Linked DNA regions of Macaca fascicularis. The protein of the gene in region 3 interacts with the protein of the main gene of each other region in a pairwise test. Links are inferred from orthologs where the notes say so. Each region holds a gene or a part of one and is shown on either strand. Other genes may lie near its edges. The genes, in order: SSC5D, FXR2 and NECAB2.

What was found.
Region 1: the proteins of NECAB2 (region 3) and SSC5D interact in binary tests that used the Homo sapiens proteins (3 or more experiments, as listed by UniProt). The two-hybrid records come from large-scale screens. The link is inferred for Macaca fascicularis from reciprocal best matches to the Homo sapiens genes NECAB2 and SSC5D.
Region 2: the proteins of NECAB2 (region 3) and FXR2 interact in a two-hybrid assay, tested with the Homo sapiens proteins (2 studies listed by BioGRID and IntAct). The link is inferred for Macaca fascicularis from reciprocal best matches to the Homo sapiens genes NECAB2 and FXR2.

The regions. Positions count from the first base shown.
Region 1 is NC_088393.1:63,443,768-63,447,419, reverse strand, and holds part of SSC5D (soluble scavenger receptor cysteine-rich domain-containing protein SSC5D), read right to left. Parts: intron 3,499-3,652; coding exon 3,325-3,498; intron 235-3,324; coding exon 1-234.
Region 2 is NC_088390.1:7,657,200-7,660,851, reverse strand, and holds part of FXR2 (RNA-binding protein FXR2), read left to right. Parts: intron 1-2,855; coding exon 2,856-2,908; intron 2,909-3,267; coding exon 3,268-3,361; intron 3,362-3,652. UniProt on the Homo sapiens protein: mRNA-binding protein that acts as a regulator of mRNAs translation and/or stability, and which is required for adult hippocampal neurogenesis. Specifically binds to AU-rich elements (AREs) in the 3'-UTR of target mRNAs.
Region 3 is NC_088394.1:79,873,386-79,876,065, forward strand, and holds part of NECAB2 (N-terminal EF-hand calcium-binding protein 2), read left to right. Parts: intron 1-173; coding exon 174-286; intron 287-2,667; coding exon 2,668-2,680. UniProt on the Homo sapiens protein: May act as a signaling scaffold protein that senses intracellular calcium.

The DNA.
Region 1 (3,652 bases), on a different chromosome or scaffold from region 3:
CGGTCCCCACACAGGCCACATCATCTAGCCAGATGGGACCCGCACCCCAGCCAAAGCGGCCAGCAGCAGGGTCTGGCTGCCGAGGTCCACCACAGCCCAGCTCCCGGCAGACCACGACTGAGTCCCGCATGTCCCAGCTATCGTCACACACGGTCCCCCAGCGCTGGTCATGCCACACCTCCAGTCGACCTGAGCACTTGCTGGGCCCAGCCACCAGGCGCAGCTGGGGGGACCCTGGGGTAGAAGAGACCCAAAGAATTAAGAGTCAGGGAAGCCACCCAGCCTCCTGACTCTTCATCTACCTTTCCCTCCCTCCATCTTCCTTTCCATGCATCCATCCGTTCATCCATCTAGGCCTCCCCTCCATTCAACCATCCTTTCCTCCAGGCAGCAAATATTTAATGAAGCCTTTTTTGTGCCATTTTCTGCATTAGGCACGAGGGATGATGAGCCAGGCAGAGTTTGGAGGATCTTCAAAAAGCTACACATCGAATTACCATATAATCTAGAAAGTCTATAGTAGGGATATACCCAAAATAAACTGAAAACAGGTATTCAGACAGACACCGGTATGTGAATGTTCATAGCAGCACCATTCACAGTAGCCAAATAGTAGTGGTTGTACAACATTTTGAATGTATAAATACCACTTGAGTTGTATACTTAAACTGGTTAACTTTATATTACATGAATTTCACCTCAATTAAAATAAAAGTCTTTTTCCCTGCAATTGTTCACCACCCTTAATTTTCTCTCATTATTATTGGTTTAATAAGGGTTTTTTTTTCTTCTTTTTTAGATTTTATTTTCCTAACCACTAGACCACCAGGGATAATAAGGTGTTTTGTTGTTGTTTATGAGTCAGGCACAGCCTCTGCTTTGAAAAACTCTCGGTCTTTAGAAAAGGTAGTATGCACACACTTCATTGCAACTCAGCGAGCTAAAGGGAGTAGTGGAAGTACCAAAAAGGCAAGGCAGACACACAACGAGGAGAAGGTGAGAAAAATTCTGCCTGGGGAAGCTGGAGAAGCCTTCTCAGAGGAAGTCCTTTAAAAGACAGGAAGCAGCAGGCCAGGCACGGTGGCTCACGCCTGTAATTCCAGCAACTGTGGGAGGCTGAGGCAGGCAGATCACCTGAGATCAGGAGGTCGAGACCAGCCTGGCCAACGTGGAGAAACTCTGTCTCTACTAAAAATACAAAAATTAGCCAGGCATGGGCCAGGCGCGGTGGCTCACGCCTGTAATCCCAGCTACTCAGGAGGCTGAGGCAGGAGAATCACTTGAACCTGGGAGGCAGAGGTTGCAGTGAGCAACCACTACACTCCAGCCTTGGTGACAGAGTGAGACCCTGTTTTTTTTTTTTTTTTTTTAAAAAAAAGGCTGGTAAAAATGGTAAATTTTATGTCATGTATGTTTTATCACAATTTTTTTAAAAGAATGTGAGCCCTGGAACAAGCGTTTTTGCTTGAATCCTGGCTCTCCCATTTCTCAGCTGCGCTGCCTCATCTGTAACATGAAGACCTGTCAATGCCCACACCGCAGTGGCTGCGAGCGTCACCTGGACTGAGACATGGAGAGAACTGGGAACAGCATCAGTGACCAGGAGCCAGCGCATGCTCGATCAGTGTTAGCTGACATTATTATTCAGGAAAAGGGGAAAGAGGCCTCTGGGAATGGTGACCATGGTGAAAACAAGTTGCTGCTTTTGTTCGGCCTTTTCCCGTCTTGAGGAGACAGCTGTGTTAACCACGCCTTCTTATTTTCTGTATTTCTGATGCTTTGACATCTTGGAGCATTCCTGATCCTGAGGGACTGCCCCTCCCAGGGTTAGCTAATTCCTAGAGATGGTAAACGGCTTGAGCATGCCTTCTGTGTGCAAACCACCCTCTCCACGGGGCTCTCACACCCTGGGCCACTCTGCACCTGTCCTCACTGCTGCAGGGCCAGGTACCAGCCGACTGAGGACAACGCTTCTGAGCCACCCCCACCCCCCACCGAAATTCTTCAAAACAGCCAATTCTAAGCCTGCTTGCCCTGTCTCACCTATTCCTTCCTGCAAAAAACACAAGAAAGACCCCTGCACCTGGCCGGGCATGGTGGCTCACGCCTCTAATCCCAGCACTTCGGGAGGCCAAGACAGGAGGATCACTTGAGGCCAGGAATTTGAGACCAACCTGGACAATAGTGAGGACCTGTCTCTACAGAAAAAAAAAACTTAGCTGGGCACGGTGGCATGCAGCTGTAGTCTTAGTTACCCAGGAGGCGGAGGTGGGAGGATCACTTGAGCCCAGGCGTTTGAGGCTGCAGGGAGCTGTGACTATACCACCGCACTCCAGCCTGGGCAACCAAGTGAGACCCTGTCTCTAAATAAATATATAGATAAAGATTCCTGCCATGCCTCCCTCTCACTCCCTCTACCTCCTGCCTGGCCCTGGTGCTTCCCTGTGTGACCCCGTGTGGCACGCCGTTCTCTCGAGAACCGTGAGTCACAATCTTTTTAGTGGCTGTCATCTCCTGATCTCCTGGCCTCACCGCACCTGGGTAATAATAACACCTATATTTTAAAACAACAGTCCTTTCAATACTCATGACAGAGGCCAGGCGCGGTGGCTCACACCTCCAATCCCAGCACTTTGGGAGGCCGAGGTGGGCAGACGGTTTGAGCTCAGGAGTTCGAGACCAGCCTGGGCAACATGGCAAAACCCCATCTCTGCAAAAAATACAAAAAATTAGTAGTCCCAGCTACTCAGGAAGCTGAGGTGGGAGGATTACTTGAGCTTGCAGGTTGAGGCTTCAGTGAGCCATGATCATACCACTGCACTCCAGCCTGAGTGACAGAATGAAATCCTATCTCAAAAAAAGAAAAGAAAACAAAACAAAACAAAAACTGGTGGAAAGGAGGCAGGCAGAGCCATTGATCATATTTGCTAAAGAACTAGAGACTCTGGAAAGTAAAGGTAATGTTTGAGCAGGGCTGTTCCTTCAAGCTGGCCCAAGTACCCCATGATGGATCCTACAGCCACACCGTGCAGCTTGGGAATAGAGCAGACCCAGCCCACCATCCTTTCTCTTATCGAGGACTGGTTACAGAATTTTGGGGGCTCAGTCAATGATGAAAGTCAGGACCCCTTGTTCAAAAATTATCACACGCTTCCAGACATGACAGCAGAGCATTGAACCCAGCTCAATGTCCTGGGTGAGGCCCCTGTGCTCCTCTTCTCCACCTTTCTCTTTGCAAGAGGCCCCCCATAAGACAGTCTCAGAGCTGAGAGAAGAAAACAGAAGGAAGGACCTTGTTTTCTTGGGGAGCATGGAGGGACTCACCGGCTTCCGGTCCGGGCTCCCAAAGGACAGTAGGGGAGGCTGGAGGAGTTGAAACGCCTGCCGTCCCCGGAGCCTGGCTCGTCATGGTGGACGGGGGCCTGGAGGCAGCCTCCCTGGGCGTGGAGTTGTTGCTGTCCATGGGGGCCGTGGGAGGGACATAGCCCAGGGGCATGCCTGTGGAGCAGGGGATAAGTGATTGCCACCCACACACACCATCCGGGAGCTGGAGCCGGCATCCCCACCTCCCGCATCATCCTTCTTCAGTCCTCTCAGCGGCACGCGGGGATCTCTTCCTGCCGAACCTCCTCCCTAGACACAGCCCACGCTT
Region 2 (3,652 bases), on a different chromosome or scaffold from region 3:
ATAGTCTTTTCTTTTTTTCTTTCTTTTTTTTTTTAAAGGCAGAGTTTTGCTCTGTTGTCTAGGCTGCAGTGCGATGGCATGATCTTGACTGACTTCAGCCTCTGCCTCCTGGCTTCAAGTGATTTTCATGCCTCAGCCACCCTGAATAGCTGAGGTTACAGCCATGTGCCACCACGCCTGGCTAATTTATTTATTATTATTATTATTAGTAGTAGTAGTAGTAGTAGTAGTAGTAGTAGTAGCAGTAGTAGTAGTAGTAGTAGCAGCTATGGGGTTTTGCCATATTGGCCAGACTGATCTCAAACTCCTGGCCTCAGCTGATCTGCCAGCCTTGGCCTCCCAGTGTTGGGATTACAGGCATGAGCTACCACTCCTGGCCAGAAAGAACTGTTTGTCTTTTCAACAAGCAGTGTGGAACAAGATATCTGTAGGTAAAAAATGGGCTGGGCACAGTGGTCACGCCTGTAATCCCAACATTCTTGGAGGCTAAGGCGGGTGTGTTGCTTGAGTCCAGGAGTTTAAGACCAGCCTGGGCAACACAGCGAAACCCTGTCTCTATTAAAAAAATTTTTTTTTTATTTAAAAATATGTTTTAGGCTCAAGCCTGTAATCCCAGCACTTTGGGAAGCCAAGACGGGCGAATCACGAGGTCAGGAGATCGAGACCATCTTGGCTAACATGGTGAAACCCCATCTCTACTAAAAAGTACAAAAAACTGGCCGGGACAAAAAACTAGCCGGGCAAGGTGGTGGACGCCTGTAGTCCCAGCTATTTGGGAGGGGGAGGCAGGAGAGTGGCGTAAACCCGGGAGGCGGAACTTGCAGTGAGCTGAAATCCGGCCACTGCACTCCAGCCTGGGCGACACAGCGAGACTCCGTCTCAAAAAAAAAAATAAATAAATAAATAAAAATATGTTTTAAAAAAAGAGGCCAGGCACAATGGTTCATACCTGTAATCCCAGCACTTTGGGAGGCTGAGGCGGGTGGATCAGGTCGGGAGTTTGAGACCAGTCTGACCAACATGGAGAAACCCTGTCTCTACTAAAAATACAAAGTTAGCTGAGCATGGTGGCACATGCCTGTAATCCCAGCTACTTGGGAGGCTGAGGCAGAATTGCTTGAACCTGGGAGGCGGAGGTTGCGGTGAGCCAAAATTGCACCATTGCACTCCAGCCTGGGCAACAAGAGCAAAACTCTGTCTCAAAAAAAATAAATAAAAATTAAAAAATTTAAAAAACGTTGATCAATACCTCACTTTATATGTAAAACTTAATTCAAAATGGATTATAGGGCTAGGCACAGTGGCTCACATCTGTAATCCCAGCTTTGGGAGGCCGAGGCGGGTGGATCAGCTGAGGTCAGGAGTTCGAGACGAGCCTGGCCAACATGGTAAAACCCCCTATCTACTAAAAATATGAAAAATTAGCCTGGTATGGTGGCGGTTGCCTGTAACCTTAGCTACTCGAGAGGCTGAGGCAGGAGAATTGCTTGAACCCAGGGGGTGGATGTTGCAGTGGGCCAAGAGATTGTGCCATTGCACTCTAGCCTGGGTGACAGAGTGAGACTCTGTCTAAAAATAAAGGAGTATAGATGTAAATGTAAAACAAAAAACTAAAAGTTTAAGAAGACATAAGGGAAAACCTTTGTGGCCTTGGATTAGGCAAAGATTTCTTTTTTCTTTTTTTTGAGATGGAGTTTTGCTCTTGTCGCCCAGCCTGGAGTGCAATAGCACGATCTTGGCTCACTGCAACCTCTGACTCTCAGGTTCAGGTGATTCTCTTTCCTCAGCCTCCCAAGTAGCTGGGATTACAGGCATGCACTACCATGCCTGGCTAAGTTTTGTATTTTTAGTAGAGATGGGGTTTCACCATGTTGGCCAGGCTGGTCTCGAACTCCTGACCTCAGATGATTGGCCTGCCTTGTCTCCCAAAGTGCTGGGATTACAGGTGTGAGCCACTGTGCCTGGCCTGGGCAAAGATTTCTTAGATATGAAACCAAAAGCACAGTTGATAAAATAATAAATTCATAAGCTAGACCTTTTTCAAAATTAGAAATCCCTAATTGTATGTGACAAATAGGGGGAAGGTAGAAAAATTGGGAGCGCAGGGGTGAACTCATGGCTTTGGCCTCCTTAGTGAGGACATAGACCACAGGAGATGGATCAGCTGTTCAGTCGTCCCTGTTCCTCTTGTCATAATATCAAGTTTGGAGTCTTCCATACATTTTGTTATCCTTTATAAATTTTCAGTGTCATTCTAGATTCAATTCTAGTATTAAAAAACTCTGATGTATTTTAAGTCTTAATTTTTCCTTCTGTAAATTGTGTTCATCACAATTTTGAACTTGTCTAGTGTTCTGATTATTGTCTTAGGACCCATGCATCAGGGCAGCGAGTCTGCTCAGATCTCTTGCTGTATTGCGGAGGTAGGCCTTTCTCTCTCTTGACAGATCCTCATGTCCTCTAGGTGTTCCAGGACAGCCTCACACTGTCTCATGGGATATTCTTAGCCTTGCTGAATGTTGTTGGTATTTTAATTGAACTCTGGCAGGCTGCTCAGCACAACAGGAGGCAGACAGATAGGGAGGCCCCTGTGGGAGCCTGAGTAGATCACCGGTTTCCAGGCTGTTCTGATGCAGGTGGTACATACACCTCTCCATGACAATATAATTTCCTTTCTCTGTCTGACTGCCCATATTCTTTCCCCAGTGCAGCCTTTCAGGCTCTCTCATTACACCACTTGTGTCCCTATCTAAAACTCAAGTTTAAGGGTTTGTGGTGTCTCTATTCCCTTGGTGGCTAAGGTGGAAGTAAAAGGTCATTTTATATTTTTTACTTTTTTCTAAAATCCATTCTAGGGCTTTGTGAAGGATGTCCATGAAGACTCTGTCACCATCTTCTTTGAAAACAAGTAAGACCTTGGGAATAGAGAATCCAGCATACTAGGTCCTAGAAGGAGAGTGGAGAAGAGGGGGCGGCTGAGTCCTATGAGGCATGTAATAGGTGGGGAGACCTGAGGGTTTGGGTGGGGAACTTACATGGATCCCAGGAGAGGAAAGGGCTGAGAATTTGGTGAGGGCGGGGGCGTTTGGCCCAGTATTTAGAGTCTAGAAAGAGATGGATGGCACCACTATGGAGCAGGACCTGGGGGTTAGCCTCTGATTATCCAGATAGGTGGGAATCGCCCAGCCGAGGCAATAACCCTTTTGTAAAGAAATGGGCAACCATATCAGTCAGAGTAGCTTTTTCATATTCTTGTTTCTCTTACAGCTGGCAGAGTGAGAGACAAATTCCTTTTGGAGATGTCCGACTACCACCTCCAGCTGACTATAATAAGGAGATCACAGAAGGGGATGAAGTGGAGGTAAGGGCTGTGGAGTACACCCTTTCTAAATGTCACGTTTTCCCAGGATTCTAGGCTTTTCTCTGGTTGGTTCATATTCCTTCCTCCCCAACTAAACCATATCCAGCCACTAAGTCATTTCCATAGGCTACATGCCTGTGGAAATGTAAAATGCAACAGTTCCCCTTTCATCACTGTTATGATCAGCCAAACTCTGAGGGACATCCCCAGTTTCAGGGGATTTGCCTTCCATTTGTGGTAACAGCATCTAAAATCCAGTGTGCGCTGATTTTTTTTTTTTTTTTTTGAGAT
Region 3 (2,680 bases):
ACCTCTGCACTGGGCTCTTGAGGTTCTAGTCCTTTCTTATACTTTTCATTATACAATGAAAAGTCGGGGAGGTTTATTTAGACCAAGGGAGGGAGGTCATGGACGCCGGATGGGGTCTTTAGGGAGAAGTTCTGGCATGGAGCCCCACACTGACTCCTGCTGTGGCCCGGCAGCACCTGCAGCTGGTCCGGCAGGAGATGGCCGTGTGCCCCGAGCAACTCAGCGAGTTTCTGGACTCCCTGCGCCCGTATCTGCGGGGGACTGCCGGAGCGAGGAGCTGCTTCCAGTGAGTGAGCTGCTGAAGCGTGAGTGGGAGGGATGGTGGCAGGGAGCTCTGCCTGGCAGTGGAGGAACAGCGCGGGACTAGGCTTACCCCTAAGTACAAATCGCACCCCAGGGAGACACATAGCTGGGTGAATAAGAACTGGGTTCAGGTCATGCAAACGTGGCAGGTGCCTTCATCTCCCTGTCCTCAGCTCATTCATCTGTAAAAGGGGGGGGCCACCCCCAGGACTCCTTGTTGGGGTGATCACGATTCATATACAATCAAGTGTGTGAATCTCAAGTGTGAACGGCTCTGGCCGGGCCTGGTGTGCCACGTGCGCTCAGTCAGCCTTAGCTGTTGCTCTTGCAGGAGTTGCTGCTTAACACCAGGCCCAGAATGTAGTGTGTGCTCAGTTAACAACCGAGAAAGGAAAGGAGAGTCGAGTCGGTGAGGCTGAAGGGAAATGCCCAAAAAATGTAGCCGCCCCTCTCCCCTTCCCCACGGATGTGCTGAGATGGAAACGTAGCGGCCATTCTCTCCCTCCTCCCTATGGGTCTGTGGTGAGATGTCTAGGGCGGGGCAAGGGGCCTCACCCTCAAATTCCCGTTCATCCCCCCAGGATTATGTAGCTCCTTGGTAAAGCTAGGCCATGGCCACAGGGGAGGGGTCCACAGAAGACAACAGCCGTTTGTTCTTGCTGGTAGTAGCCCTTAAAGAGCATGAGGCCCAGGTGTTTCCCCTGCCCTTCATTTCTACACCAAGGCTCTGCCCAACTCCCTCCCTTTCCAGGGCTTTCTTCCATCCCCAGGGCACACATTCATTCGCCCTGTTGCCTGGGGGCATGGCTGTGAACGAGGCAGGCCAGGTCCTGCACGGGGTCTTCCTGGGCCCCCTGTGCACTGAGGCCTGACCTGTAGCACTAGGGGAGGAGCAGCCTGGGCAGGAGTGCGGCTGTTGCGGAGACCCAGGGTGGCCATCAGGGGCCACGCTTGAGTAAGTAGCCAGGGTGGTGGGCAGGACCCACTCCCATCCAGCAGGACAGACTGTATAGGAGCAGGGGCCAGACTTGATCTTTTCTCTGTTACATGAAGTGGGAGACCCCAGAGTGAAGTAGGGCCACCCCGATAGGCTGTGGAGAGGAGGCAAGGTGGATATAGAGGCTCTGGTTTCGGAGCCTCAGTAGAAGACAGTGCTGTTTGTTGAACTGGAGACGGCCAGCTTGGAGAGCCAGGCGAGACTGCACTTGCCAGGCACAGTGTACCTAACGCTGCACAGCGGTGTGTCTGTCCCCCTCCCTCCAGGCTGAGCACTGTTACCCCTCATCCCCTGCTCTTGCCCCCCCGCCCTTTTATGGTCACTTGGGGCTTCCTCATTGTAGTGCACTTGCAGAGAGAAGCCCGGAGCGGCATAGCCTATCTGCGCCTTTAAAATGAGGTGAGTGCTGTCCTCTGGGTCCCAAAGAGTGAAGGGGGACTTGCTTGCAGCCCCTTCCTCTGTGAATGCCCCCCTCCCGCAGCCTCCTTCGGTCAGGTACAGTGCAGTGGGGTTGTTGCAAGGATTAAATAAGATGACAATTAGGAGGAAGATGCTTTGATAATTTAAAGATAGGGTTTATATGTATATATATATTTTTTGTTTTTGAGACCAAATCTTGCTTTGTGGCCCAGGCAGGAGTGTAGTGGTGGAAGCTCAGCTCACTGCAGCCTCTACCCACCAGGTTCAAGTGAGTCTCAAGCCTCAGCCTCCTGCGTAACTGGGATTACAGGCCTATGGCACCAGGCCTGGCAACTTTTTAAGAGACCAGGTTTTGCCATTTTGGCTAGGCTGGTCTTGAATTTCTGGCCTCAAGTAACCCACCTGCCTCGGCCCCTCAAGACTTCCCAAGTTCTGGGATTACAGGTGTGAACCATCACACGCAGCCACCTGGTTTTGTTTAAATAAAGGTGAAGATTTTAACATGACATTTCAGCTGGGCACAGTGGCTGAAGTTTGTAATCCCAGCAGTTTGGAAGCCAAGGCGAGAGGACTGCCTGAGCCCAGGCGTTCAAGACCAGCGTGGGGACCATAGCAAGACCCCAGCTCTACTAGGACATTTTTTGAATTAGCCAGGCCAAGTGGTGCACACCTATAGTCCCAGCTACGTGGGAGGCTGAAGTGATTGTGCCACTGCACTCCAGCCTGGGCAACAGAGTGAGACCCTGTCTCAAAAAAACTACATGTCATTGAGAAATAGCTATTGGCCACTATAAGAAACCAGGCCTTGTTCCAGGTGGTGGGGGCACCCTGTTGAGTCTCGCTGGAGGACCAGAAAGGTTGAAGGCAGCGGTTGTGTATAGGGGTGGGCTACAGGACTAGGGTGGCCACTGTTGAGCCCCAGCCTCCCTGCCTGTCTCCTGTTGCAGCATCACTGCCGTG